7 separate regions of the Mus musculus genome follow, and all the other regions are reported to be linked to region 1. The links are microRNA targets in miRTarBase. Many come from high-throughput screens and were not tested one by one. Region 1 holds a microRNA gene; each other region holds the end of a gene's coding sequence. Distances are between the middles of the regions.
Evidence for each region. The annotated mature microRNA mmu-miR-34b-5p reads AGGCAGUGUAAUUAGCUGAUUGU and lies in region 1 at 1,388-1,410, opposite strand. An mRNA with a match to its seed (bases 2 to 7 or 8) in the 3' UTR can be bound and repressed. Matches are read on the target gene's strand: a 7mer-m8 pairs with bases 2 to 8, a 7mer-A1 pairs with bases 2 to 7 and ends in A, and an 8mer does both.

Region 1 (4,077 bases):
CTCCTCCTCCCCCAGATAGCCCAATAATGTGAGCTTTAAAGAGCGCCTTCCTCTTTTGGACAAGATTGCCAAGGCTTCGCACTCTTACCTCTGGGGAAATTCTCAGGTTTGCATTGATACATCTGCATAAAGCGCTAATCTAGAACTGGGCCGAGAAGTACCGGTGGATACAGCTTGTGTGATTTAAAACCTCTCAAATCTTTTATTACAGATATTAGGAAACCAGCTGGTTTTAAATCGTGTTCACTAATTATTCCCACGAAAAGTTGCCTAGAACGCAACTGTTAATACCTTAAAAAATATACCTGGTTAAGTGGGCTGAGTTCCCTTGCCCCATGGAAAATTATGAAAACATTTAACGTTCCCTTCCAGGTCACAATCATGTGTGAGACGTTTCCCTGGAGATTTTGTCTGTATAGCAACTAACCATTTAATGACTTTACGGGGTTGACAGGAGCTGAAATGGAGATCCTAAAGCCAGTTTTTGGAAAGGAAATGAACACGATTGCTGAGATTTTCGTGGCGCTTTATTTTTTAGAGTGTTATTAATATGTCAGGCAAAGTCCAAAGATTTATAATCACAAGTCAATATAATGACCAAATCAGCTAAGGGATAATTTCTATTTTTCCAATATATCTAAAAATCACAAAAAATGTACCCCACACAAATTGATACATTGTATACTTAGCAGCTAAGGGCTAGCGGTTCCCCCCCCCCCCCCAAACCACTAATAGTATGGTAAGAATATTTCCCTATGGCTCTGTCCTCACCAAAATGACGATTCACAGGAGGCTCAGTCGGAGGAATTTCAGTCTTTTTACCTGGCTGTGTGGTTAGTGATTGGTACTATTAGCAATCAGCTAACTACACTGCCTAGTAACTAGACTCAGAAAAAAGCATGCAGTCTTTAGCTGGTGCTCTCAGACTTTGGTGTGACCAGAGCAAATCGTCAGCCAAGCTGTGGTTGACTCTAGTCGCTGCCTTGGTGATAGCTTTCTCAGAAGTGGAAATCAGGCAGTGAATCACAGCAGCAGCAGGAACTGTTCTGGGGGGGGGGGGGGGGGGGCTCTTCCTGGCCTTTTTTTTTTTTTTTTTTTTTATGTTAAGGCCGGTGTATACCGATTCTCTTTACACATCACTGAACCGTTTTTGCTCTGGCTCTTACACACAGGTAGCCGAACGGTCCCTAAAGGAGGCCGCCGGTCTCCGAGGGTTACTTGCACTTAGACCTCGTGCTCCCGGCCCTTTGCTGACGCATCCTGGCTCCGGCCTCGGCTTTCTGCGGAGTCAGTGGGGCTGCAGCGCTGGCTTCTCCTCCCGCGGGCGGCGGGTGATGCTGTGCCTTGTTTTGATGGCAGTGGAGTTAGTGATTGTCAGCACCGCACTACAATCAGCTAATTACACTGCCTACAAACCGAGCACCGGGCGCCCGCCACTGCAGCTCCCGAGGGTCGGGCCCCTCGCCCCCTTTCGCCACGGTCGACAGGCGAGGGCGGCGGAGCGAGAGGTGCCTCAGGCTCCCGAGGCCCCTCCACACCCAGCAGGGCCGCGCGCGACCCCAGGTGAACCCCCAGGCGCTGAGGCCCCCTGTCCCCGCCGTCCCCCCCGAGACCCCCGACTCAGCCCGGACCCCAGGGCATCCGGCCCGAGTCCTTCTTCCCGCAAGCCGGGTCTGACCCGCCTCCAACAACTTCTTCACGGCTTCCAGACCCAAGTCTAGAGCCGGTTCTGTCCAGCCCGCGCGCCCCGCAGCTCCTACTGGCCGAGTGACCGTGGCTCAGCGACCAACCGCCCTTGGAACCCCGAGGCCGAGGGGGCGGGGCGAGTGGGGGAGGGGTGGCAGAAGCTACCAGAAGGGGCAATGGGAGGGCTCCTGCAGAGCCTCCTGGGAAGGGGCCGGGGAGATGGAGAGACAGATTCTTGAGAAGTTTATCTTCACAGTGTAGTTACTGCTACATCGAAGAAAGAAGCGCAGAGACCTACATCCATCTCTCCTTCCCAATATATTGCCCAAGAAGCCCCAGGCCTCCTCACTGTTCATATGCCCATTCTCAGAAACCGCTTCCCAGGCGTCTCATCTGGAGCCTTCCTGCCTGAGCAGGCCTGGGCACTCATACCTGCAGGATTGCCCTTGCCTGTACCCAAGTTCTTTCTTAGGACTACCTCTTACAGGGCCATACAGTGAAGTGTGGGCCACTCTTCTGGTCAAACATTGAACCAACACCCTTGTTGGTAGGTCAAAGTTGTGGCCCTTATAAGATCAAAGACACAGTTTTGATGATCTCCCCGTGAGCCTTGAGGATATCTAGTCTCACTTTGGGCTCCTGTTTTATTTAAATGTTACAAATCCAGCACCTAACAGGCGTTTGTCTTACTACCCATCAGACAGTCTAGGTGGTAACAAAATGTGAACACATTATTTATTACTCCAGACAGTATAAAGTTGCTAAACTGATAGATTTTCCTAATAGAAAAAAACAGGTATGGGTGGGGGTGGGAGGTGTGCCAACAAGAGCTGACAGACACCATCATGGAGGAGGTGAGAGTTCAGGTAGATCCTTGAAGCAAGGGTAGATTTGGACATTAAGGATGAGGTCTGTAGAAGCCCGAGAAGCCATATCTTCTGTCAGTTACATTCCCCTTGTTTTTGCTATTTTATATCTGATAACGGGGTGCGTGTTTGTGTATATTGGGAATAGGAGGCGCTGAGGGGACAGCATTTCTGCGCCATCTTCACTAATATTTCTTTCCTTTAGTCTTTCCTCTCCTTTCCTTTAATTAATTGAGCCCAGAGAGGATATACAGTATTCTCTGATTGCAAACTTTGTGGAATTCAGTAGGAAGTAGCCGTCCCAGACTGTGGTCTTCCTGTATGCTGTATGACACCCATTTGTATTGATCCAACAGTCTTGCAGTCTACAAAGGGACATTTCTTAGCTATACACTGATACCTGTAAGCCCAGCAAATGGTCTTGTAGATGCCACTAATTACATGAATATATGCCAATCATCAGGAACATTCAACACAAATTCCAAGTGGAAACCATTAAAACCCAAGAACTTCCCAAGAATAAACTTGTGTATATTTTAACATTATCTTTGAAAGTAAAAGACAATGTTTTTTTCCTTCAGAGTCATTGTTTTATGAAGGCTTAAGTGAAAGGAAAATGAAGTAGAAAATGCCAGATTATTATAAAATTAACTTATGAAAGACATTTGTAAATAACTATCTTGTATTCAGTCTTCTTGTATTTGAGAAAAGTATAATGTATCCTACAAAAGGTCATTTAAACGTTCAAATATAAATAAAAGTAGTAGAAATAGCCTCCATCCCATAAACACTATGAAGAGTTACAAGTTTTAGGAGGACATCATTAAAAAATCATTTATTTTGCATTTTGCTCAATTTCACTCCATGTGTCATGCTTCCACCCAGCTTAGGGATTTTCTCTATTAGTAGCATCTTAAATATCTTACCTGAGTTTTATTGCTTCCATCCAAAGCTATCATTGCATAAACTGTCTTGAAATTTAGACTAAATTTTTTTCTTCAATGATAAAAAGTAAAATGATGAAAAAAAAATGCGTGTGCCCTAGTTCTGTTAGAAAGCAACAATAGAAAAGAATGTCTGTTCTTAGGGTTGCTGTTGATCCTGCCCACAGTTACTAGAGAAACTCCAAGGATCTTATTGCATCTGCTGGTCATGCCTAGGCATGTCTAGAGACCAGGGAGACTCATGTTTTAATCTAAGTAAGAATGCCTGTGGTGTGGTTAAAATGCCCAAGCAGACCATTACATTTGGTTAGATAGATCCAGGAAGGCACCTTGAGGAGGAGCTGTTTACTGCTTTAATTTCTGGGTTTTTGTTGATCTGGGAGATGGGGTAGGACCTTTGAGGAGATGGGTTGATAGTATTGACCGGAAGGAAACCATGAAAAGTATCAAAAACAAGAACTTCCTGCGTGAATCTGACAAATTTATCTTGACTTAATTTATGACTCCTGTAAAAGGGCCATCGAGAGATGACTTCCTCCTGTCAGTACACACAGCACATCGTCTGTACACGTCCTCTTTGT
Region 2 (4,077 bases), not on the chromosome of region 1:
GGCGGTAGCGTTCCCTCAGCCCCTGCCTTCTCTCACGCAATCCGCTTGCCAACACTACACATCATCATTTTCTAATTGGCTCCCTTCGCGCCCACCAATCATCAGGCTGACTGCCCCTCAGTGATGAGAGGAAAACTGCGGGGCGATTGGCTATGAGGAAAGCTAGGGTAGGAGCCCCCTCACCCTCAGTCTTGCAATGTTTTAGCCAATGGGAAAAGTACCAGTGATTCTGAAGACCACAAGACTAGGCCCGGGGAGGGTGGCTGGGAGTGCGCAAGCACCAGGGAACGAGATGTGCTCAAATGAAATCAGAGAGCCTCGCTATCATTCTCCCCGCCCCACTCCCCCAACAACTACGCACTTTTAAAATCTGTCCCTTCCCCCACCAGTTTATGCCTGTGGGGTGAGCGCTGTAGCCCCTCAGTCGCAGGCTGCTTTGAACTGCTAGTAGTTTAAATATCTGAGGTCTTTTTGCTTTGGTGGTCAGGTTTTGACATGGCTTTTTCTATTTCTGCAAAATGGCTCCACAGATGCAAAGAGTAACTTCCTCTGCGTCATTAAAAAAAAAAAAAGGTGATTCAACTAATGTGCTAGATTTTTCTAGAACTTTAAAATTCTCTTTGTCTACACATAATTTCTACCCCAGCTTTTCCTAAATGAATGCGGCTATTAATTGTACCCTAATATTATATTTTATTTTGTTTGTGATCAGAAATGGCTGGTCTTTGATGAGGCACGATGGTGGAGTTTTGGCTCTGGTTCTAGAATCCACATAGCAGGTGACTTCCACTGTGACTTTAGCCAAATCACTGCCCCTCTCTGAGCTTGTTTCTTCTACATTAGACATTCCTAAGGAGAGGAGATAATTGCCCATTGCAGCCTTGCTGTGGTAGCAGAGGAAGGAACCTCAGAATCCATCAACAGGAAAATGGATGTGATATGTGTTTTAGATGGACTACTAGAATAAATTTGATCTATGTATAGCAACATGGCTGGATTTCGCAAAAACAGAATGTTAAGTGAAAAAAGAAACAGAGCAAGATTTATAGTACAATACTGTTTATGTAAATTAAAACACATCAATACCATATATTTTCCACAGATACACATAAGTAAATAAACACATGAACGGTGGTTTGGAAGGACACACATTAAGTACTGAAGAGCGGTGCCTATGTGGGGTTGGAAGGATGGGATCAGGAATGGGTGATGAAGGGGACAAAGCAAAATAATAAAAGGACCTTGCATGGACCAATGATAGAGTGTGCCAAGAACTGAGTAATAGGGTCAGCTCAATTCTGTGCACCTGAAGAAATAAGTAAATAAATAGTAAATTAATTGAGTGCTTAGGGAGTAGGCCAGCTGGGTAGATCCCCAGACTTGGGCTTTTTCGTTATGTTATCTTTCCTTCTGAATTTAGTCAAAGCTAAACCAAGTCCCAGCTGTATACAGTGGAACCGTAAGAAGGACTTGCAGTTTAGGCTGAGCAGTTCCTCTAAAAGCCATTACATTGCAGGGGGCCATTTCTTAACCCCATTGCCTTCATGTTTGATCCCTCCCCTATTCCCAGTTCCTATTTCCATGGTGGTCTAATATAAGAAATACCTTGTTTGAAATTTGGGGTGAGGATTGAATCTCCAGACATTGGGAAGAGATGGGGTTCTAAAGTATTCTCTCCTTACCTGGTGCTCAGAAGCTGGGCCAAAGGAAGACAACTTTATGAGATGGGAGTTGACTCTCTTGACACATACATACATGAAAAATTTCAGGTTCCATCTCCTAAGCACTCTATTTCCTGCTGCAGGCACATACTAAGTTTTGTCTCCTCTCCATTGTGTGTATGTGTGTGTGTGTATACTCTATTTCTTCACATATATGTATTTGCTCACATATGTGTACCAGGCAAGTTTTCCTCAGAGGTTCTTACCCACACAAAGTCACACAGACACACACTATCTCATTCAATCATACCTCCTCATGTGATCATACACAGATAGGAGACATGGACACACACACACACACACACACACACACACACACACACACACAGAGAGAGAGAGAGAGAGAGAGAGAGAGAGAGAGAGAGAACATCCAATATAACATTGTTCATTTCACTTTTTCCATTTACAAAATCCAATGATGAATCCAGGCAGTTAGAAAAAGGAAACGGAGGAAAACCCTCCCGAGTTTACCCTATTTGCCCTCCCACCTTGGTCTTTGCACCCCAGCCCTCAGAAAGGCATTTCTATCATCATCACTGAGAGAATAGCCCCACCCCAAACACACATTCCCAGCCTCTCAGCTCCTCTGGCTTGCTTTTCCAGGGCCACTCCACAACCAGGGTCATCAATATCTCTTCTGCCTAGAGTGCCCCCTTCATTGCTTTTGGGTCAAGACTACCTCAGTTCAGGGCCTATCTTGGGGTAGAGGTGGAGTTTAGGACAGGAGTTTATAAGGAAGGAAAGGAGATGGAGAGATCACTGCCCCAGACTTAGGCAAAGAGTTCCAACTTGGCTCACCAGTCTGTAGAACTGGCCTTGAAGTAAGCCCAAAGTGGTTTTTGTCCATGGAAAAGAGGCTTGGGACCATCCACCTGTAAGAGTGGATGGAGAAAAAACTTCTGGGAAGGATGTTTGGGGCCCAACCAAGGAGGAGCTCAAGGACTGTGAGGCTTGGAAGGGACAAAAAGAGGTCAAGCAGAAATGGACTCAATTCCACAGTGCCTTGAAGTTTGTATAACTTTTGATTATCAAGGTCTCCAAAGAATTTTATTTTAGGGGGGAGTATTGTGAACCCAAGGGATAATTGTGGGGTTGAATTTAGCTCTGACCCCATGGTCTGGGCTCTAGGTACTCTGGAGAGTTCAACTATTTCCCCATGGGTGACTTTCCCTGTCAGCTTATACCCACATCATCCCTAATGGGGACTAAAGTGGATATATATTCCTAGGAGGAAAAGTTAGTTATATATTCCTGGAGGAAGCTTGAGTGAACGTAGCTAAGTTTGGTATATTCTGGTTGAGGAGCCCATCCCCCATTCTGCTCTTCATCTAGCCTGGGCACATCATGGAGGCTCTTCTTTGTATGCTCTTGGCTTCTCAAACAGCCTCAAGAAACACCTGTGAAGTCTGGACATGGTAGGGAGGGATTGGAGATTGGGCTTTGGACCAAGGTTAGCCAAAAACAACATTGCACATAGCACATAGCAATTTAAACATCCTTGCTCCCAAGGAATATAGCACCCCATTTGGTCCCTCTTGTCTGAAGACTTAAGCCAATATTTCCTAAACATCCAAGTCTTGCTAAAGGATTTGGAAGGGGAGGGTGAATGGGAGCCCAGGGGACGATACGATCTCTGGGAATCTATTTTACAGGAGAAACTTCCCATTTCTTGACAATGTCAAAAGGGGGGACATTTAAGCAAGAGAGCCTACTTCCTCAGCTGTTATTATTAAAAACCCTGCATTTTCAGTTTGTTTTCATTTACTGAATCATTACTTTAGAAAGATAGGAGAGGGGAGAGGGAAGGGAAGGCAGGGAGGGCATGGGAAAAGGAGATTGTTGAAGTGGAGGAGGCTGCGGGACAATCCCCACAAAACTAGAAATGCCTCTTTTCCAGTTCCTCACCCCGTTTCCAACCCTAGGGAGGTGTTGGCGAGTTGCCTCAGTTATGGATGGTTTGAGAGCCTGGACTGAAGCTTGAAAGAGAAGGCTTCTGTATGGGTCCCACCCTTCCCCTGCTGCTGGCCCCCGTATGGTGATTCTGACTTTCCCCCTGCCTATCACCTACGGGCTTGCTTCACATGACACAGTAGGGTTCTCTGGGAGCTGGGGCACCTCCTGTGCCCCAGCAAGGGGCATGAGTCCTCAGGCACTTCTTGAGGTCCTTGTTAAGCAGGAAGCAGACGATTGGGTTGACGGCAGCCTGGGCGAAGCTCATCCAAACAGCAGTGGCCAAGTAGCGGTGGGGCACAGCGCAGGCTTTCACAAACACTCGCCAGTAGCAGGCCACAATGTATGGTGACCAGAGGAGCAGGAAGAGCAGTGTAATCGCGTAGAACATTCGGCCCAGCTGCTT
Region 3 (4,077 bases), not on the chromosome of region 1:
TGTGTACTGCCCAGTCAGTGGTATCTGCTCCCTTTGTTAGATGCAAAAGAAATGGCCAGGTGGCTAGACCCAGAAGGGACCTCTGGGGAAGACCCTCTATAAGGAACCACCAGGGGTGGTGTGGGTTTGGGCTTCCTCTCCAGTCTGGGTTCTAAAATATCCAGGCTTCAGTGAGCTGGCAGACCCCCACTGCACAGGCTGTGCTCAGATCCTGGGATCAGAGTGAATCTGTGGGTGAGCCCTTGGGGCCTTCAGCTAGGCTTTAAGGAAACCATCTATCTTTAAATTTGAGGGCCAGGGATCAACGGAATCCACTTGTACGTGATGCCAATTTATCCTGAGCAACACTTCTAGCCCACAAAGCTGGATACACCCTCAGAAACTGGAATACTCCATTCCTCGAATTTGGACCCAGTGGCTGCTGGAGGACAGAGCCACTGAGACTTTAGGACAGCAGGAGTTGTCACCTCGAACTGCCTTTAAAACTGCTCAGCTCAGTTAAACAGGGAGTGACTACCACATGAAGCCCTGGACTTAAGTGCTGTGCCCCAAAACATGTCACTGGGTCTTCTGACCTCAGCTGACCCATCTGTCTAAAGGATTATGAGAGAGTTCACACTCAGTGTCTTTGGGTATGTTGTCACTGTTGAAAGGTCAAAGATAGGTCTTCCAGGAGTTCTGAAGTAAGTTACTAAGAGCTGGGTTTCCTTAAAATTTAAGAGGGGGACTTTCGATGCCATCCACAAAGTTAAAAGGTGCATCTGAATGTGTCGTGGTCCCAGCTGCAACTGCCTTCCAAAGGGCACGTACAGGACAGTAAAGGCCGAGGCTTGTGGGGAGAGCAACACCAGCAAGACTGGCAGGAGCAGAGATTTCTGCTGTCTCCAGTGCTGTTTTCTCATTTGGGGCTTTGAAATCTACTAAGCCCCACAACCCCCAAACTAGGAACAAAAGATGACAGAGTGGGCTCAGGTGGGAAAAGTTTTGAAGCAGGGAAAGTGCTGAGGACATAGCCGAGTCCCCAACTGGCTGGCACATCACACTGCCTGAACTACAGTCAGACTGTAGAAGCAGTGGGGCCCTTGAAACTACTGTGGCTGTGGCCAGAGATCCTGTCACAGGTCCCTGTTCCCAATCTCACCTCCCCCAAGAACCAAGATATAAAACTTTGTAACAGTCCTGATGCTTCAGTGTTTTTATTTTTAGGAATGTATACTGTCACTTGTAAAGGGACAGAGGGAGGGACTGCATCCATCACAGCGCCAAGGCTATGCCTGGGTGCTTCCCCACTCTGCTCTTGGAGTCACTGCTAAAACCCCAAGGCCAACAAAGTCCCTTCAACTTGAGTACAGGAAATAGTTTCAAGCATTGACAATTCTTACACATGATTATTCAAGGAATGCAAGACAGCCACGGTTCAGACAAATCAACTACAGAAAGTATTAAGAGACGGTGTGGAGGGAGGCCCTGCTTCTTAAAGTAAACGTGAAGGAAGCACAGTGGGAGGAGGCTCTGCCCTCGGCCAGCGGGACTGGAGGCAGGGTCAGGGTGGGATGCGGGGGTCAAGTCCACAGAACTCAGGGACACCTTGCTCTCTTCCATCTGCAGAAACCCAGAACCACTCGTTGTCTAGACAGGATTGGGGTATGTGTGAATACCCAGGGAGGACCAGAGGGACCAAAGGAATCAAAGGGAGAGACATCTCTGTCCTTTAGACCCCAGGGGAAGAGCTCCCTGTCCAGGCCTGGAAACCACAAGGGCTCTGCTTCAGATGCAGTTGCCGGAGGGTGACACGCCTCCAGCCGACACCACAAGCATGGTGCTGCTTTCTCACTTCCACAGACGCTGGAGTTTCATAGGATGATTTGGCTGTGCAAAGACATCCCCAGTGTATTGTGAAGACACAGGTTCTTGTGTTGGCCAGATCTGTTCATAGATTGAGGAGGCAGTAGCCATTAGACTTGAAGTACGAATGTGATGTTTGCTGTTGGCAGTGGGCCAGAGGGTGGGGGAACCAGGCAGCTCTGAGGGTTAAGCAAGGGGGTGCAGGAAACTGTTGAACACACTGGCCAGCTGTCTCCAGATGGAGCCACACCATTCAGAGGAAAGAGGTGGGCTTGGTCCTAGAGGGGCAGAATGGAGCAGGGTCTGGCTGGTTGATCTGATGCTAGAACCAGATTCTACAGAGGCTCCCACATACCCACAAGTCACTGTCAGAGGGGGAGGAGTCAAAGAAGCCCATCCCAGAGTGGGAGGCCAGCCTGCCCTGCCACCTACAACACTTGTATGTAAATGAAGATCCTCAAAGGAGCAGGGCAGAGATTCCAGGGCCCTGTGCCCTGTCCGTGACCCAGCTTCTGAAGCCATCTGATAGAATGAAAGTACATTTACTAATGGAGAAGTAATATTTGCATCTCCAGTCTTTGATGCAGTTCAGAATCAATGCCTCTGGCCTTTTAGAAACATTAATTCTATGCAGGGCTTTGTCACTTCTGCTGAGACCAGAAGAATCCCAGTGCACCGGCAGGATGCTCTGCCTTTACCTTTGCCGTCTGGGCAAAGCTGCTCTGCCCACTATGCTCACCCTCTGCTTTTCACAAACAGCTGGGGCCTGGGGCCAACACCACACGTGCCCAGGGCCAGCTTCTGGGAGTGCTCATGGAGGGGCAGATGGAGGCATAGCGACATTCCATGGAATGCTGGTGCACTCTAGTTAGTGCTTGTGGACCCCTACTGGGACGTGCTTGGTTTGGGTACCTTCCTCGGTCCCACTGGCCGATTCTCAACTTCCCTGCTGCCCAGGAAGGGAAGTTCCTTGGTGGGCCAGCACGGCCTGTTACTGGGTAGGGCTTGCCTGTCCCAACCACAGTTTACCACATTCCTGTTGTTCGACAATCCCTGACCACGGTTGTCAACTCCTGCCCTTGTAAACATTTCACCAATCCTTTATGTTCACCTCTATCCTCTGGGGTGGGGAAGGAGAAACCTCATCACAGGAAGGCATCCTAGGAGGGAAGGATGACAGAGCAGGGGCCTGCCTGCGCATCTGCAGGTGACATCACTGGCCCCTGACATCATTTACAGAGAACTGATGGGATGGAATCAAACCCACAAGAGGCCAGTGCAGCAAAGGAAAAGGAGATGAAAAAAACCTCCGCAAAACGAAGCCCGAGGGGCCTGGGCTCCATGTGACCAAGAACTGTCTGTGCTACATATGGAATGGTAGCATTTCCATTTCCTTTAATCTTGGCCTCTTCCCTTGAGAAAAGGGAGGTGGGGACTTGGCTGGACCCCACCTTGAAATCCCAAAGAAAGCAGTTCTTGGTACCATCTATTATGGTTCTACCATTAAAAAAGGGGGGAGTGGGTAAAAAAAGCTCCTATCCTCTGGCCCGGTGTGATGAGGAATGCCATGACCGCCCTCTGACCCCAGGAGAAACGCGCCCCACTATCAGTCATTGGGTACTGGACAGAGGTAAAAGTTCTTTTCCTCCTGGGGTTTGCTGATCCAATTCCCATAGCCCATGTCTCGCAGGCTTTTCTTGAAGTAGTTCTTGGCTAAGTCATAGTCACGGGCAGCTTTCTTGGCTTCACCATAAGAGAGCTGCAGTAAATCTCTGCGGGCTCGGAAGGAGCAGAGCTTCTTAAACTGAAGGAAAATATTCTTCTTGGACACCCGAGACAACTCTTTCCCTGGTCTGGGGAAACAAAGGCACGTGTTATTCATCTGGGAGCAGGTGAGGTGGGGGCTAAGGTGTGGATTTTGCACAGGGTGGATGGCCCTGAACTCAGTACTAGCAGGCAGGGGCCTGCCCCTGGGCGTCTGGAAGGAAGCCTGCCTGGGCCTCTCCTGTGCCCTCCCACTCCTTACCCATCCACAGTGCCTCTGGTGCCATCCAGGATCTCTAGGTCATAGCCATCAGCCATGCACCAGTTGACGCTTGTTTCCTTGGTCTTTCCGGACTGTCTTTTGGAATCATAAACACTGACTCGGCCGACCTAGGAACCACGGGGTGATGGAAGAGAGGCAAGCCGTTCAGGGCAAAGGTTCAGAGCAGGCATGCAAGACTTCTGGGA
Region 4 (4,077 bases), 57 Mb from region 1:
ACCAGCAAAGAAAGGCTGAATTGAGAAGCCGCCCCCACCAGTCCTGGGACAATGGAGCCTTATGCCCTCCAAGTCAGAGCTGAAGTAGAAAGGCCAAAGGCAGGTGGGGGCCTAACTGTCTACCAGGGTAAGCCCTGCTTGCCAGAACCACACCCAGACCCAGTGCCAAGTGAGATCCTAGGGGATACAGGACAGAGCCCTAAATGGCCCACCCAGGCAGGGAGGCACCGGGTGCATCAGGCAGACAATGCCAGTTTCTCAATGGCCCTCTGTGCGGGGTTCCCCTCAGGACAGAAGGAAGGAACCATCTCCGGTGTTTGCTTCCTGATGGGCGGGTATGGTGACTCTGGAATAGCTCCAGCCCGCCTGCGCACATTGGGGTTCAGGCCCGAGCCTCTAAAGAAAGACAGGGATTTGGGGATGGCACAGGATCCTGTTCTTGTCAGTTGTACCCTGTGGCAGAGGTAGCCGGAATGGCCTGAGGAACTGGGGCGGGGGAGAAGCCGAGGGAAGAGCAGGCACTCCTTCCGACTCGCCGCCACAACCTTTCATCTCCTGCCAGTATCAGAGGCCCGGTGGCCTGTGGCCACTGACAGGTGTAAGGAGGCGAAGTCCCAGGTCCCGGGTCCAATCCCTCCCTCCCTCCCCCGCCTCCGCGGCGCCGACCCCCGCCCGCCCCAGGACCCAGCCGCTTTGTCAGGCCGCGGGCGCGGAGCCTCCAATGCCACACAAAGCTGCTTTTGTGTCAAGCGTCCTCCACGGGACCCGGTGACGTCAGCCTGCGTGACCAGCTCAGCAGCTGCGGAGAGGACGGGCTGAGGCGCCCCCTGGCGGCCGGCGGCAGAGGCCTCGGAGCTCCGCCCAGCTGGGGCCGGTCTTTCGCCTAGCCGTCCCGGTAGCAGGCGCTGCCCGCGGCTGCCCCTGCAGTTCCTGGAAGAAAACCCAGGCATTTAGCGCTGCGCTCCGCCCAGTACTCAGCACTTCCCTTAGCTTTGTTTTCCACATCAACCTTCCAATGCAGCCAATGACAGACCCCCATGAACCCTTCCTTGACAGCCTGTCCCCACCCCTCTGATTTGGCGACGTGGTATTCTGGCACTTATTACACAAAATGAATTTCGTTATAACGTTTCAGCACGTATAAAACGCACTTTTGTCTTACTAACACCTATTACCTATTACTCTCTTGCTGACCCCCGGCCCTTTCCAACTGCCCCTTCCTCCACTTTCAAAGAGTTTCTCCACAGGGTTGCTTCCAGGACTATGGATACCTTACCAGGAGCTACAATACTGAAGACAATGTCTCTTCCTTCCTCAATCACTCAGTTAGGGGGACAGTTGGGGGTGAGCCACCTCCTCATTCCATGACAGGATGTTAACCAGCCCCATCCAGTGGGAAGAGTGCTTTACTACATCCTATCTTTCTGCAATTATATTCTTCGTCCCGATTTTACAATGTTCCTTGAGTCTTAGAGGCAACTTGGTTTTTGTTTTTTGTTTTTTTAAAATTTATTATATATAAGTACACTGTAGCTGTCCTCAGACACTCCAGAAGAGGGAGTCAGATCTCGTTAAGGATGGTTGTGAGCCACCATGTGGTTGCTGGGATTTGAACTCCGGACCTTCGGAAGAGCAGTCCGCTGCTCTTACCCACTGAGCCATCTCACCAGCCCGCAACTTGGTTTTTTTGAGTTTCAATATATAGCCCAGGCTGGTCTAGAACTCTTGGTCAATCTCCTGCCTCACCTTCTTGTAGGCTACAATTAAATGCATATGCCACCACCCCTAGTTTTCTGAGTCTGTTAAGCCAAGGAGTGCAGCCTACTTATCTGTGCTATCTCTGCTCCTCCGAACTTTCAAGAACCCTCTAGAAGAGTTCCCAAGGTTCAGAAGGTCTGAAGGCTGCCCCAGGCCACAAACTGCAAAATTAGGACTAGAAGGCTGCATAGCCTCTAACATGTAAGTTGACCAGTCCAGAGGGCAAACTAAAGCTAGAGAACTGGGATGGAACTCTGCCTAGAAAGCTGATGTCCAGGGGCCCATCCCAGGTGTGGCACTAAGGTGTGGGATATCTTCTTCTTGCTCAGTCCCCAGGAGAAAAGAACACGGAAGTTTTTGGTGTTTTCTTTCTACATTTTATTATTTCAAATCATGTGAACAATTCCATAAAACATGTGAAAAAAGCAAGGAAGTGTTCAACGCTGGAGGACCCGGGCCTGGGGCGAGGGCGTGAGGGGCCTGGCCCTCAGCAGGCAGCGGCGGTTCCTAGATTAGCGCTAAGGAGCTACATTTAGGTTAATGGAGCCAGGGCCCAGGGCTTCAGAGCAGGGCCCTCAGTGACGTTGGCAGTTGTCTGGAACAGCCCTTGGAATCCAATTCCGTGGAGGGCAGAGCAGGGGGCCGCCCAAAGAGGGATGGGTGTAAACACGCAGACACACTCAAGGCACGGAATCGCTGGAAAGGGGTGGGGCTGGGGCTGGGCTGGGGTGGGGGTGCTGGTCAGGACCTGACAGTTTTAAATAGGTTTCTCTAAAAAGTTTTCTAGATTTGCAGTTTTCCTTATTTTTCCTTTTTCTTTTTCTTTAAAGCTACGAGAATGAGCAGGTGGGCTTTGTCTCCAGGAATGGCGGTATCTCTCACGCTTCTTGTGCTTTTTCCTTTGGGGCCTCCGAGCGGCAGAGAGTGGGGTAGGCAGGAGGCTCCCTGTAAACATTTGGACTTGGGTCAGGGCTGGTGTTGGACAAAGCCAGGGGTCTAGGCTGGAGGAGTTGGTACCCTCCAGACATAGGCCTTGGGATCTCTGCATGCGCTCCCCGCTCACCCCAGAACAAGACAACGGTTAGAAAACCCGAACGGATGCCCAGGAAGGGGGTACCATGGCTACTCCCGGCACCTCAGACAAAGGTGGGTTTTAGACTGGGAGGCCTGTGGCAACCCCTCCCCCAAGTCTAGAGCCGAGGGAGGGGACAGGGGAGCTGAGAACAGAGAGAAAAGATGGGAGAAGCAGCTGGGGGAACAGGCAGGGAACATGGTCTTCTTGCCCCCATCTTCCTCAGGGGTAGTGGGGAGCACAGTCAGCGGTGGCCCTGGAGGTGGATGACAGACACAGCCTGGGTTACATGTGGCTCCTCTTCTTGCCTCTCTAAACAATGACCTTCTTCTCCCCCACCTCCTTGTTACCAGGGACACAGCTGTGCCCAGAGGCCAGCTTCTGTTGCTGGGTTACAGGATGTGTATATCAGTGACACTGCGGTCACTGAATGTACGCCAGGGCCAGTGGGGCTGGCCTGGGCCTAGGACTCTCAGGTCTGAGAGACAGAAGTCTAAGAACAAGAGTGAACCTGGTCAGTGAGCAGCGGGGTGCCTGGGTCTCCTGCATCTAGATTAGGCTAGAATACCATGGAGGCAAGGAAGCAACTCCTTCCAAAGAACACTGACCACCCCTCTAGCTCTGTCCAGGAGAGTGCCAGGACCCTTTTTTATTCCCTCTCCTCTGGTCCCTGACTGCCCTGCCTGACCCTTTCTCTCCAGGCTGAGTACTCCCAAATGACTTCCCCCAATTCCCCAGACCCCTGTTGTTTGACAACCCCCTGACTCACCATCCTGCCAGGTCCACTGCCCCTCAGAAGAGGCCACAGTCCTTCAGGTTGTTCTTGATGATGACGTCAGTGACGGCATCGAACACAAACTGCACGTTCTTGGTGTCGGTGGCGCACGTGAAGTGCGTGTAGATCTCCTTGGTGTCTTTGCGCTTATTTAGATCCTCAAACTTGCTCTGGATGTAGCTGGCTGCCTCGTCGTACTTGTTGGCCCCTAAGGAAGACGAATGAAGACTTGTGTATGTGCATGTACAGCAGAACTCTGTGCCCACAACAGACAAGCATGTAATGTGCACAGCACGGTCATGTGTAAGTGCGTGTGCTGTATGAAGGATGTTTCCTATGTACGTATGCTCAACGGTAGAGGCCCATGGGTGGTAACAAGCCTTTTGTGTGTAGACACAGTGCATTCCTGAGTGAGGTCCCACAGGTCCTGTGTTTTTCCTTCTGTCCAGATTGGGGCATCCATGGGCCACCA
Region 5 (4,077 bases), not on the chromosome of region 1:
CAGAGGTAGCTTGGGCCTGGAGGCCCTTGCCCCATTGTGTAGATAAAGATACCAAGTCCTGGGGAGATGAGCACCTGGCTTGGGTTGGATAGGGCTTTAGAAGCAATGTGAGCTGTCTCTGGGGGGAAAGCTATAGCTGAAGAGCTGAGGACCGGAAGAGGGGCCGTCTGGTCTGAGAAGTGGGTGTTGTGGAATAAGTGGGTTCGGACTCCTGGGCTAGGGATCAGGCTGCCCCGGTGCTTGATTCCAACAGGCATCTCCTTGATCATGTGGAACGCACTCTACACAGCCGAGAAGGTCATCATCCGCTGGACTCTGCTCACTGAGGCCTGCTACTTCGGGGTGCAGTCCCTGGGTGAGTGGTGTAGGGTGGTGGGAAGGCTATCAGGGTGCAGGAAGAGAAGGGCAGAGCACTGGGTGCTCCTACAACATAGACCAGTGTCCTGAATCCACAGCCCAGCCGTTCCCTCCAAGCCTGACACTCAGGATGCACTTCTAGGCACCTGCCACTTGGGGGCAGCAGACTGGCCTAGGCTGGTGTTAGGCTTCTGGAGGTCGTCAGCCTGCAGTCCCACTCACCACAGGGATGGTCGAGGGTATTCAGCCTAGCCTAGCGTCATGATGGGAGAGGCTCAAGCACGTGTCTGCTCCTGACCTTTGCCTCCCCCGACTTCCTTCACAGTGGTCACTGCCACGCTTGCTGAGACGGGCCTCATGTCCCTGGGGACCGTGCTGCTCCTGGCCAGCCGCCTCCTCTTTGTTATTGTCAGCATCTACTACTATTACCAAGTCGGCCGGAAACCCAAAAAAGTGTAGCAGGCTGGGACCTGCCTGGGCCTGGACCTGGGCCCGAGCAGCTGGGGACTTCACTGTCCATGGGTCCTAGACAGGCCTGCAGGCAGGCAGGGTGCACACGCCTTCCTTCCCTCCCAGGCACTCCACGGAGTCATCTTGGGTCTCCTGGGATTCTAGGAGTGACAGACCAGGCTGTGGCCTCTGCACCCCACCCCTCACCCTTGTGCAGGGACAACTCCTTGCCCTGTGTTTCTTGGCCTCTAGACTCTAACAGGCAGAGTCTAGAGTAAGTTTTAGGGTCTGGGCTGAGTCAAGGTGAGTTCCTCTGCCAGGAAGCCCTTTCTAGGAGGTTGTGTCGGCCCCAGCAGGGGCTCTCAGCTTCTCCCCATCCAGAAACCCGATGTGTGAGTCCCTCATCACACACGCACACACACACACACACACACACACACACACACACACACACACACACACACGGTGTTTCTAGAGATCCAGTTGAGGACATCTAGCAAGGGGAGTGACTGCCTCCCTTGGGCCAAGTTCCCCAGCCTCAGCCTGCACATCTCTCTCTTTGGCCTGCTGGAGGGTACTCTGATTCTCTGGCTGGCCGCCTGCGTCCCAGAGCACCAGAGTCCCTTCCCGACAGGCTAGGGTTAGGCAATGTACCACAGGCCTGATAGTCCCTGGCTCCTAGCTGCCCATAGGCTCCTAGTGCATGAGGAATTCTGAGGAGAGGACAAGTGGGGACATTTCCTCGGCATGGCCTCCAAGGCCTGCATGGCTACACACCTGGCTCAGTGCCTCCTCCAGATCCCCTCCTGAGGCTGCCCCAAGGCCTACGGGTTAAAGCCAATAGCTGCTCACATGCAACAACGGAAGGAGATTCAAGAGTCTGCCATCCCTTAGCAGCCCCTAAGTGGGCCTCTAGAGCTGAAGACACACCCCTGGTGCCACCAGCCTGTGTGGCCCCTCCCCTTGGCCCTAGCTCCCAGCACCTCCCTACCCTTCAGCAGCAAGCACACTAAGAGATTTGGCCCGAGGCTTCTCCCTTCTGCAAGGGGGTGGTCCCCTATACCCGAGGAATCTTTCTCTAGGGCACCTGGGCTCACAGCCTCCCTGGGCTCGGTTGTTCCTGCTGCCAAGTGCTCTGTGACCATGGCCTTTGCCTAGTGGAGGGAACTCAGTGGAGGATGTGCCCAGCAGTGGCCGGGGCTGCTTCTGTAACCAAGGTCTGGCAGAGTAGCGATTCCCTGCGTGTTCAGGAAGGGCCCATTGTGTATACCTGCCTCTTGTCACTGGCTTGGTGCCAGTCCCTCAGTCCCACCTCTTTACTCGGACCATGGACCCTGCCACTGCCAGCTCTTAGTACAGTCCCAACTACCGTAGACCAGGTGACATTTGTTGACACCATTCTCAGAGGTGTTGAAGATTTATCATCTTGAATCCTCCACAAATACAGATACAGTCCCAAGGGAGGTAGTCGTAGAAATGGAAGACGCCAGCCCTGCGCAGCCTGCAGGGACATCCGCCAGGCTTCCCCTCAGCAGCAGGAGCCCAGGTCACCCTGGTTAAACTGCAGTGATACATTTAGGTGGGTGGGGTCAAGGCATATGTGGCCTCCGGGAGACACCTGCTTGGAAGGAGGCAGTGATGGAGATAGAGCCCCACTCTGAGTCTGGGCTCAGAGTGCCCTGACTGCTCTCCCCCACCCCATCCCCAGCTCCTCTTGTCATGCTTCTGCCTGGCCCCCAAGACTGCCTCTGTCATGGTCACTATTTATTCTTGGTCCCTTTTTCTTTTTGTAAGAAACAGTCACAAGAAAACAACAACAACAACAAAAAACAACCAATGAGAAACAATCTGCGTGGTGTCCTGTTTTATATTACAAAATTTCTCTTAATATAGAATATAAAAAGGGGAGACTTGGGAGATACAATGATAAATTAGCTCTGTTTCCTACTGCAAGGGACATTTACAAATTCCAAAATAGACTTTAGCATATGACGTGTGTGTGTGTGTGTGTGTGTGTGTGTGTGTGTGTGTGTGTGTGTGTGTATCAGAGTTCCTGGGGATGAAGGTGCTGGGTTCAGAACCCAGGTAGGCCAGGGGCTTGGGACAGGATAATGGGGAGCATGAGCCACAGGTCCAGTCTTAGCTCCTCGCCTGTCAGATACAGCTGTCCCTTAGGCCACTGCTCTGGGACAGGAAGTGGCTGTTCTGCTCACTACTGGCTGAGGCATCTTGGGGTGAAGGAAGAGCTCCCCTCCATTCCTCTGGGAGTACACAGAGCAGCTCACCAAGCCCCACCAGGATGACCTCAGACAGCCTTGCAATGGCTACCAGCAAGCTCAGAGGGTGAAGACTGTGTCTGTCTGGCCCCATGAGGATGCTGAGAAGCTGGGTTGAATCAGGGCTACTTGGGAGCGCTTCAGCGTAAGTGTGGAAAGTTCTGGTGAGGGACTCTGATCTGCCCTGGAATTGCCTAGGCTCCATATCTGGCTTCTCAGTCCCTCCCTGTCCCAGCCCTGCCCATCTCTGGAAGCCTGGGCTAGTTCTGGGTGGCAGCCGCTGTGGTTGGGCTAAGTCCTCAACCTAGCCATGAACTTCCAATCAATAGCCAAGCCATTTGCCTTCCTAGACAGTTGGAGTCCAGTACGTGCTGGGTTCTGAGTCAGCCTGGGTCCTCTTAGTCTGGGGGTGCAAGCCAGCAGAGGGGCCCCCTGATCTGGTGACTCAGCCTCTAGGGAGCTTACTATGGGGATGCCAATTAAGCTGTCATAAAGACAACTTCCGTATAGCATTCAGAGACACCCACTCCCCGGAAGGCCAGGCTGGGTGAGGACCACATAAAGAGGAGAGAAAATGGGAGAAGTAGCCCCCCTTGCACCCAGACAGCAGAATAGAACAGGCTATGGCTATGACTCCCAGGTGGCAGAAGGGCAAAGGAAGGCTGGAGTTCAGGTCAGGCTCTTCCATCTGAGAGAGGAGAGCAGACACCTAGCTGTTCCTTCCACCACTGTTCCCCTTTTGTGCCCTTGGCAGACATAATTAATCAAATTTGAGATCCTGACAGACAACACTAATGGATTCAACACGGTCCTGGCAGGGTCAGGCATCTTGCAACTAGTTGCTAACCTAGCCTGCAGTTCAAGTTTGTGTGTGTGTGTGTGTGTGTGTGGGGGGGTGTTGGTTGGTTGGTTGGTTGTGAACCTATTAGTCTGGGGTGTTTGTTTGTGTGTGTGTGTGTGTGTGTGTGTGTGTGTGTCTGTTGGTTGGTTGGTT
Region 6 (4,000 bases), not on the chromosome of region 1:
ATGGTTTTCTGGGCTGCAGTAGCAAGTAGTGGAGCCCTTGTTTTGGGGTCAATATCAGCTTTCAGACTTTTTCCCTTTCCTTTATGCCTTCTCCATGTTTGTGTCTTAAAGTGTGCCTTTTATTCTCTTCAGGTCTCCCAGTCGCTGGGCAAACCTCAGAATTTGTTAACCAAGTGTTAGGGAAGACTGCTGAAGGCAACCCCACTGGAGGCCTTGTAGGACTAAGGATACCAGCATCAAAAGTGTAATCAGCCTCATTGGACCACTGGTCAGAAATGTCTGTTTTTGTCATGTTATCCATTGTAAATTTTCATTCTGTTTTGCATGTCAATTAGCATTATGTAAACATTTATAATTAGGTTACATTGTTTTAAAAACAATAGCATAAGTGAAGCATGATCCAAAATACTTGATTATTGCATTTTCAGAGCATAAACCAGTGACCCTGCTGCTGGCATGAGAAAGAAGCTCACACATTAAGTAAATATGAGGTACAGATTGTAAACATTTGTTGAAGCAGAGTGTTTTGGGTGAGTGAATATATTAGTATAATGCTGAGTGTTAAGGTGGGTTTATGCTCTGAACCACACAAAAATACCGAGGAAGCATTTTTTTTCAAAGTCCATTTAGATTGTTTTTAGAATGACTGCTTTTTGTTCTAATTTTTTACAGCCATTAATCTCACATGTACATGGCGCACCCAGCACTCACGTGTGTACCATGTTTAGATGTTTTTCAGAACTCAATATGATATATAAAAATACATATATATATATATATATATATACATACATATATATATATAGAATTGTCTGTGCAAGTAAGAAAAAGCATACTCTTTGTGCCTTGTATTTTGGGGAAACTCTAAAACTGGTAATATTTTGTATGATGAAAATCCTAATGAGGAAAACCAAGATATATAGATGAGAAAATTATGGGGTTTAAATGTCTTTTTGTTCCAACTCTTTTTCAGATTTTTTTGAATGTATATAGGACTATGTCAAAATGTAGATATATGCCACAGAGTCTGTGTATTGTATAAAAAAAAAAACAAAAAACAAAAACAAACAAAAAAAGATGGCTCTAGAGAACTCCTATTTCGGTACTTGACCGGAAGAAAATACTTGCACATTATTGCGATTGTTTTATTTTTTCTACCAAAGACAAATGCAACTGGTATGGCAGACTGCCAGTCTAAGTAAAGTTTTGCACAGCTTACATGATACTGTATGAATGTATGAAACAGAGAAAAAATTAAAAGGTCAGGGTTAGGGATCTTACTCAACTGTGAACTTTATTTCTGTTTGGGTCCAATTATCTACAGAAGGAGCATCCATACATCCAAATATTATTTTGCTGTCCTCTAGTTTGCTTCCATAGTAGATAAGTTGGTGGCCACTTAGGTGTCTTTTATTTCTGCAGTTATTGTAGGAAATTTTAATATATTTCATATTAGTAAGCTATTGATAAAATAGTTTTTGACTTTGAAAATTAAAGTTTATTTAGCTTATTGTAGTATACTTCCACCAAACAACCAAAATACAGATTATTTTTATCGTATTATGTATATATATATGTAAAGAGATAAAAAAGCTAAAAATATCTAATACTTTAGTTGCCACTTTTCCAATTGATGTTATTGTGCATGTAATATTTTCAAAGATCAACACAAGCTTAAAACAAATTTATAAATTTTTATATTTTTGTACAGGTATTTTCTTCAAACTTACATGTGACTTATCTTGTGTAGTTTCTAGACTTGAGAAACATGACCACGCTTAGTTTTAGGTGCTCTTCTTTGCTTTAGTGGTCAGTTGTAGCTGTGCTCAAGCTTTGCCTCTTGATGAGAGATTCCTATGCCCCACAGGTCCTTCCATCCCGTCTTTCTTGACTGTTTTATCTCAGATCTTGTGTTTGGAACTATGAAAACTGGTGGCTTCAAAAGTAAAAACAAACATATCTAGAAGAAAAGCCTGAGATGTCAGACATAGTTGCTGTTTCTCCACCACCTTTTGATAGAACTAAGATAGCTGTCCTTGGTCTGTCTGCACAGGAGTTTCTTTCCTTTTTCTTTCTCCCCTTTTGTAAGCTATAGCACATGAAGTTTCAATTAGAAAACACAGTTACAATCCAAAAATGTGTCTGACTTGCCTCTTTGACATCATGAATCATAAGAAACCAAGACTTGTCTTGACACGTTAGCTGAAACTGTGACAAGGTTCCTGTGTGTTTGGTGGAAATGTACCTTTAGTTCATCCACCCTAACAGATAATAAGCTCACGTGTCATGGTTAACAGAATTAAAGTTTTACTTTCTATGTGGGAAAAGGCAAACCATAGGTTCACAAATGGAAGTGTCTGAAGTCTCGAAAGTGTTCCAGAACCTGGCGGTTTTCAGTCAAATGACTGTCACTTCATGATCGCGAGTCAGTTGGCGAAGTTTATAAAATTGCCCCTTTCTAGCTACCCTGTTTTAGGAATTCTGGTTTTTTGATACCTTTTTCTTGTCTGCAAACCAGAATTTGATTTTTGGTCTTGCATTTCAAAACACTTTGAATCTGTTTAGTAGATTCCATACCCGTGCATTTCAGTGTTTTATATGTACTCCTTAAGTTAAATAGTTGAAAGCCTTTAAATAGTTGAGCTTTTTAATGTTGACTCTTTATTTTGTACCTATTTATATATGTATGTATATCTTAGGAAAGCACTTTGTTATAAAATTGCATTTTATATGATTCCTGCCATTTGCTGCTAAACTTGGGCTGGTCAGAACGCTGCAGCGATACTTGATCTAAATAAAAACCTGGCAGTAAAATGTAGAGTGCAAGTTAAATCCTCTTGCTGTTTAAGATGACATAGGCAAGCTGTGCAGCTTTACATTTTAACCAGGGGACTCTGTGGCATTTAAAACCGTCTAGAAATGGTTGTACTTTTAATGCCAGTAATGAACTGCTTCCTCTATTGTCTTTAAAATATCCTACACCTAGTGTATCACAGGCGGTTCTCACAAGTGTGTAAAAACCCAGCAGTTGTATATGTTGTATTTTAAAAAATCGTGGTTTGTATTTTTGGGTGGAAATCGTTAGAGTGAGAGCTGTCTAGAGGTTTTCTGTGTTCATACATGGTATACAGAGAGCTCATGAAGTCCAGAGCCTTCCCTTAAGTGAAGGAAGGCATTGTGAATTCTCCTCAGATCAACCCACCGTTCCAAAGGCAACCATAAACTGACTACAGTACTACTACAGTAAAAAATAACAATGAACCTTCTGCTTCCTGGCTTCAGATACACTGGATTCTTTAGTCTGTGCCCACATGAGAGCATGCTGCCGGGCTGCTCCTACATAAGTTTCCTGTGAGTCTTGCAATCAGTGTGGTTGCTTGCTGTGCTGTACCATGTATGTGGGTCCTCATCCTTTCCATGTCCTTCATGAGCGAGTTGGGTGTGGCTTAACCTTGTGCCTTACTTGTACACTTAAATGATGCATCTTCATTCCTTCCATCCCATTCCCAAACCTTAACTCTGTTCTTTTTGTAAGAGAATCACAACTATTCCAGAAGCATCATGAAGGATTTCAGATGGGCGTCGTTTCATAGTTCCCTCTCTTTGTAGTTGTTTTATACTTGTAGGAGAGAACAGTTTTGAATGATCTTTGAGTAATCGTGTTACGTCCTTCTCTCTGGCTTCTGTGAGGCTGTCCTGCGTCTCTGATGCTTGGCTTCGCTCACACCTTAGCAAGTCTGCATTTACAGGCAGATGTGCTCACTTCATCTGCTCGAAAGTGATTCTTTTGTTTTCCAGAAGTTTTTAGGAGAAGAGTACCTATTTTGTTTGTTTTTTACAACAGATGACAAGTCTCTTTAAAAGAAACTGAAGTACAGTACTTTTGAAATACAATGCTATTGGTATGAAGTTCTCTTTTATATATAATATTCATACAATTATCTGATGTTTGCCTTCATTAATAAAGCTGTTAGTTTATTCACCAAAATGTCAAGAATGG
Region 7 (4,077 bases), not on the chromosome of region 1:
GGGTCCAGGACCTCACTGGGGTCATCCCATGGGTGGCACACCACAAGCTTGGGGTCATCCGATGCAAGGTGGACCCCAACCATGGGGTCATCCCTCAGGGCCAATGCAAGGGGTACCTCGAGGTAGCAGTATGGGAGTCCGCAATAGCCCCCAGGCTTTGAGGCGGACAGCTTCTGGGGGACGGACGGAACAGGGCATGAGCAGAAGCACGAGTGTCACTTCACAAATATCCAATGGGTCACACATGTCTTACACATAATAATTGAAAGTGGCAATTCCTCTGGAGCTGTCTGCCAAAAGAAACTGCCTACAGACATCATCACAGCAGCCTCCTCACTTGGGTACTACCGTGTGGAAGCTGTGCATATGGTATATTTTATTTGTCTTTGTAAAGCGTTATGTTTTGTGTTTACTAATTGGGATGTCATAGTATTTGGCTGCCGGGGTTTTTGTGGTTGGCTTTTTGTTTTTGTTTAACTTTTGGAAAATTTTTAAAGTGATAATAGATAAGTATTTCATGTATGTGGCAAAAAAAAAAAATTGGCTTAATTAGAAGGGGTATTATCTGAACAATATAAAAACAGAATGAAGCAAGCTAATCTGAATCATCACTTTAGGGTATCCATAGCCTAAGAAATGTGTCAGAAGATCTAAAGCCTTCCTTCATATTCCAGTTCTGTGAGTCCCTAACAGCAGGCAGCATCCATGCTGAAGCACATACACCTCCGCTCCTCACCAGTGGGTTTTCTTTATTTATGAATTGATCTGATTTCTCAACCTCATTTGAACTAAAAAACAAGACCATGAACATTAAAAGATTGCATTTACCTTTTCAGTGGTAGAAAATCATTTAGTTCTTTGCTATAAATGATTCAGAATTTTGTCAGATTTTGTAGGTTGTATCATCGTAAGACGGAGTTGCATAAGGAGATCATAAGCTGTGTGGCTATTGCACTAACAAGCCTGTGAGCTTTCAGAGGGGAAAAACTAGAGGGCGAGAGGGGCCCCTGAAAGTTCCTGTGACAGGGATGCTCAGCAGGGAGGAGGGAAAGCCTGTATAGCTAGCCTGACATTTTGTTTCTTGTACAATATCTCATGTGACCCAAACTTGAGACTCCAAACAGTACCTTTGCTTTGTTTGTACAAAAATGAAGACCTATAGCCAACACAAAGCAAATGCCAGAGGTATTGGATGATGCCATATTTGAACTGCCATCTATTAGCATATTCATCACACTACATAGACATAGTTTTACTGCCCCCTTTTTAGCTCATGGGATTTCCTGTTTACAGGTAGCAATAGTCAATTATTTAACTACTTAGTTGCCACCAGGAGTCACTGAGCCAATGACTATCAGCTGCTGACTAATCTTCACACTGTAGTTATTGCTTCATTTACAGGTCCTCTGTGCTTAATTGCTGTTTTTGTTGCTGTAGTACCTTATGAATTCTTAATTCATTGAGACTTAGTGACCATCTGGGTCCATGTTAATATCATATAATAGCAAATTCCTTTCAGAAGTCTCTAGCTTTAGTGCTAAAATACTACTGAGAAAGGAACTAGGTAGTTTGGTGAATGAAAGAAAACAAAATTTGAAGATATTATGTAGTGGTCAAGGACCACTAATATTTGGGGAGTGTGTTTTGTCTGTTCTTCAATGAAGGATCAATCCAGTGTTCTTCATCAATGTTAGTTAATATCCCATTGCTTGTGTGGCGCCTTGAGTTGGTGGTAGACTAGGGCAAATGCCCTCTTTAGTGAGAGACCAGAGGTTTTGTATAAGTTATTGTCCTGCTCCCTTTTCAGTTGTCTTGAAGAGCTCTTGCTACTAACTTTGGGTCCTGCTTTTCATTTAGGTAGATGGTAAGCATTCTCTTAATCATAATTAGAACAAACTAGTGACCAAATTGTCATCTGCTAGTATGGAAGTTCTTAGTTTTCTTAACCATGCTTTATGTCTTGTCCAGGTATGTCAGTCCAGTTTCCATGACGTACCCCCTTCAGAAGTTTCTGACATTGGTTTGAGGTTTTCTGACACTAATTAAAAGAAAAATTAGATCAGGGTGTGGTAGCAAATGCCTATAATCCCAGCATTTAGGAGGCAGGGATAGGAATCTCAGGTTCAAGGCTGCCTACAAGTGTCTCAAAAAAGAAAGAACAAAAGAAAGGTAGATGCTATAGTATAGGTCCTTTGAAAATCCAATAGAAGGTTAATAGTATTCACACACAGGTCTAGGCAGGGTTTTAAACATATTCCCCATCAGTTTTTAGGTTAACATATACTTGCTATAGCTAATGAAAAGGGCTTTTCTTTTTTCTTTTTCTTTCTCTTTTTTTCCTTTTTCACTCAAAATACTATTAAGGAGTTTCTCAGACAAATTGAAAATTCTATATGTTTTGAGGAAATAAGGGGAAGCTTTAGAGTTTAATAGGATATTCAAAACTATAAAAGAATATCATCTTAAAAAACTGTTCTGGCAACTATCTGCTACCAGAAGGTTAGATTGAGAAAGCAGATCCAATATATGCAAGACATTTCTTCAAACTCCAAACTACTACCAGAAACACATTTTATCACCCATTGTGAGAGTCACTTGGTCAAATTTAGTTAATGAGTCCATTTTGATCATAATGCACTCACACTAGTGTGTTTGAATACTGACTGTCTGTCTGTCCAGTAAGGATTTCTGCCCCCATCTAATTGTGTGGCACCCAGTTTTTCCATGTAGGTCATTATACCTGGATGATAACATCAATTTAGTTACAATGCATGTAGTTTGCACAATGATTAAAATGAATAGGTTTGTGTTTATAGCCTATAATAACTCTAGTTGAATCATGTACACAGCAGGAGTGGTCACAGTAAAAACTGGTAGCAGGAAAATTTGAAAGGGTTTGAAATGCCCTGAAATCAGGGCAAGTACTTAATGGGGAAAAAAAAGCAGAAATGTCAACATTTGACCAAATTAACACTACCTCCTCCCCAGTTGTTGGTATTCATTCATTATATGTGTGTTTAACAGGATGAGAGCATGGCGAGCTTGTAGCACACCAGAGGTTGTAGACCTATATCTGGTATCCAGAACCTGACAGGGAAACAGTTCTTGGTCCCCCTTTTTTGGGGTCAGCATTTTAAAAATGCAAAGCCTATATGTTGAGACATTGTATTCCTAATTAGATTCTCTGTCCTTTGCACATAACTTTCTTTTAAACTTAGTTCTAACCCTAAATCTTGACATCAGAAAGTGTTTGCACTGTATAAACAATGTTAGCTGAAAGCATGTTTATTTTTTAAGGAGCTCCTGCTCTTCTGCACATTTCCATATCTAGAGATGGATAGTCCTGAACTTGACGTCACACCCACAGGTGAAACAGCCCGAAGTCAAGGCCTTGCTAGTAAATGGAGCTTTGTACATAGTCATTGTGATGTCTTGGCTGCCCGGACACCACGTAAACATAACACTAAAGAAACTGTCCTGGAGATCCCATCCTGCTACTAAGAAGTTTTCTGTACATCACTTCCAAACATTGGAAACTTTCAGATCATAAGGCAGAATTTAGTAATTTTGTGCTTCTGTTAATGTCTAGCATTTTAAACATAGGATAACATTGTTTTGGACACTGGAATAATATGATTTATTTTCACCTGTAAAAATGACTTCATTGTACTTGAACACCTTTGCATTTCTCCATTTGTGCCATTTACAAGTGGAAATAAATTTTATTATACCATGATCTACTGGCGTTTTAAAACTGTTAAATGTGCACATTTTGGGTATAGCTATTTTCACTTGTATGTATATATTGTATATACATATAAGTGTCTGTATGTGTGTATAGATGGATTGGTATAACTCATTCTAAACGTGTCTGCCAGGGCTCAAGTTTTATTGTTCTTGCCCCACTCCCACCCCATGTTACAGCAAGACTGGTCTTACAGAGTGAGTACTCTGGGTGATGCTTACGGGAAGGAGATTGGTAGATGCAGTCTTTTTTTCCCCCTTAGCACTTGTATGAGTGAGGAGAAAGTTAGGTAAAGATTGAAACTATAAATTACAGTGCAGTAAACTGTGCTA

Region 2: the mRNA of Gpr173 is a reported target of mmu-miR-34b-5p. The part of its 3' UTR that is shown has no 7-base or 8-base seed match.
Region 3: miRTarBase lists Adar as a target of mmu-miR-34b-5p. Seed matches in the 3' UTR shown: 8mer at 1,989-1,996.
Region 4: miRTarBase lists Gnai2 as a target of mmu-miR-34b-5p. Seed matches in the 3' UTR shown: 7mer-A1 at 2,344-2,350.
Region 5: the mRNA of Trp53i11 is a reported target of mmu-miR-34b-5p. Seed matches in the 3' UTR shown: 8mer at 2,146-2,153.
Region 6: the mRNA of Crebrf is a reported target of mmu-miR-34b-5p. Seed matches in the 3' UTR shown: 7mer-A1 at 1,186-1,192.
Region 7: the mRNA of Taok1 is a reported target of mmu-miR-34b-5p. Seed matches in the 3' UTR shown: 7mer-A1 at 1,209-1,215.

Annotation. Positions count from the first base shown.
Region 1 is chr9:51,102,223-51,106,299 of GRCm38, forward strand. It overlaps Mir34b (microRNA 34b), which reads right to left and starts at 1,423; the gene lies at 1,340-1,423. It overlaps Mir34c (microRNA 34c), which reads right to left and starts at 888; the gene lies at 812-888. It also overlaps a transcript of Hoatz not described here and a transcript of Btg4 not described here.
Region 2 is chrX:152,342,556-152,346,632 of GRCm38, forward strand. It overlaps Gpr173 (G-protein coupled receptor 173), which reads right to left. Exons shown (of 4, transcript NM_001359449.1): 4 at 1,043-4,077. The coding sequence ends at 3,799. Among named protein-coding and RNA genes, the nearest start is that of Tspyl2, 2.1 kb to the left of the region's middle.
Region 3 is chr3:89,750,550-89,754,626 of GRCm38, reverse strand. It overlaps Adar (adenosine deaminase, RNA-specific), which reads right to left. Exons shown (of 15, transcript NM_001146296.1): 14 at 3,872-3,999; 15 at 1,172-3,698. The coding sequence ends at 3,452. Chrnb2 (cholinergic receptor, nicotinic, beta polypeptide 2 (neuronal)) reads left to right here. Exons shown (of 6, transcript NM_009602.4): 6 at 1-1,179. Among named protein-coding and RNA genes, the nearest start is that of Chrnb2, 12 kb to the left of the region's middle.
Region 4 is chr9:107,612,013-107,616,089 of GRCm38, forward strand. Gnai2 (guanine nucleotide binding protein (G protein), alpha inhibiting 2) reads right to left here. Exons shown (of 9, transcript NM_008138.5): 8 at 3,600-3,813; 9 at 2,113-3,086. The coding sequence ends at 3,623. Among named protein-coding and RNA genes, the nearest start is that of Sema3b, 4.8 kb to the left of the region's middle.
Region 5 is chr2:93,199,104-93,203,180 of GRCm38, forward strand. It overlaps Trp53i11 (transformation related protein 53 inducible protein 11), which reads left to right. Exons shown (of 8, transcript NM_001025246.2): 7 at 254-355; 8 at 683-2,654. The coding sequence ends at 816. Tspan18 (tetraspanin 18) reads right to left here. Exons shown (of 10, transcript NM_183180.2): 10 at 2,657-4,077. Among named protein-coding and RNA genes, the nearest start is that of Trp53i11, 14 kb to the left of the region's middle.
Region 6 is chr17:26,771,160-26,775,159 of GRCm38, forward strand. It overlaps Crebrf (CREB3 regulatory factor), which reads left to right. Exons shown (of 9, transcript NM_029870.2): 9 at 133-4,000. The coding sequence ends at 248. Among named protein-coding and RNA genes, the nearest start is that of Bnip1, 7.9 kb to the right of the region's middle.
Region 7 is chr11:77,534,049-77,538,125 of GRCm38, reverse strand. It overlaps Taok1 (TAO kinase 1), which reads left to right. Exons shown (of 21, transcript NM_001364134.1): 21 at 1-4,077. The coding sequence ends at 259. Among named protein-coding and RNA genes, the nearest start is that of Abhd15, 21 kb to the right of the region's middle.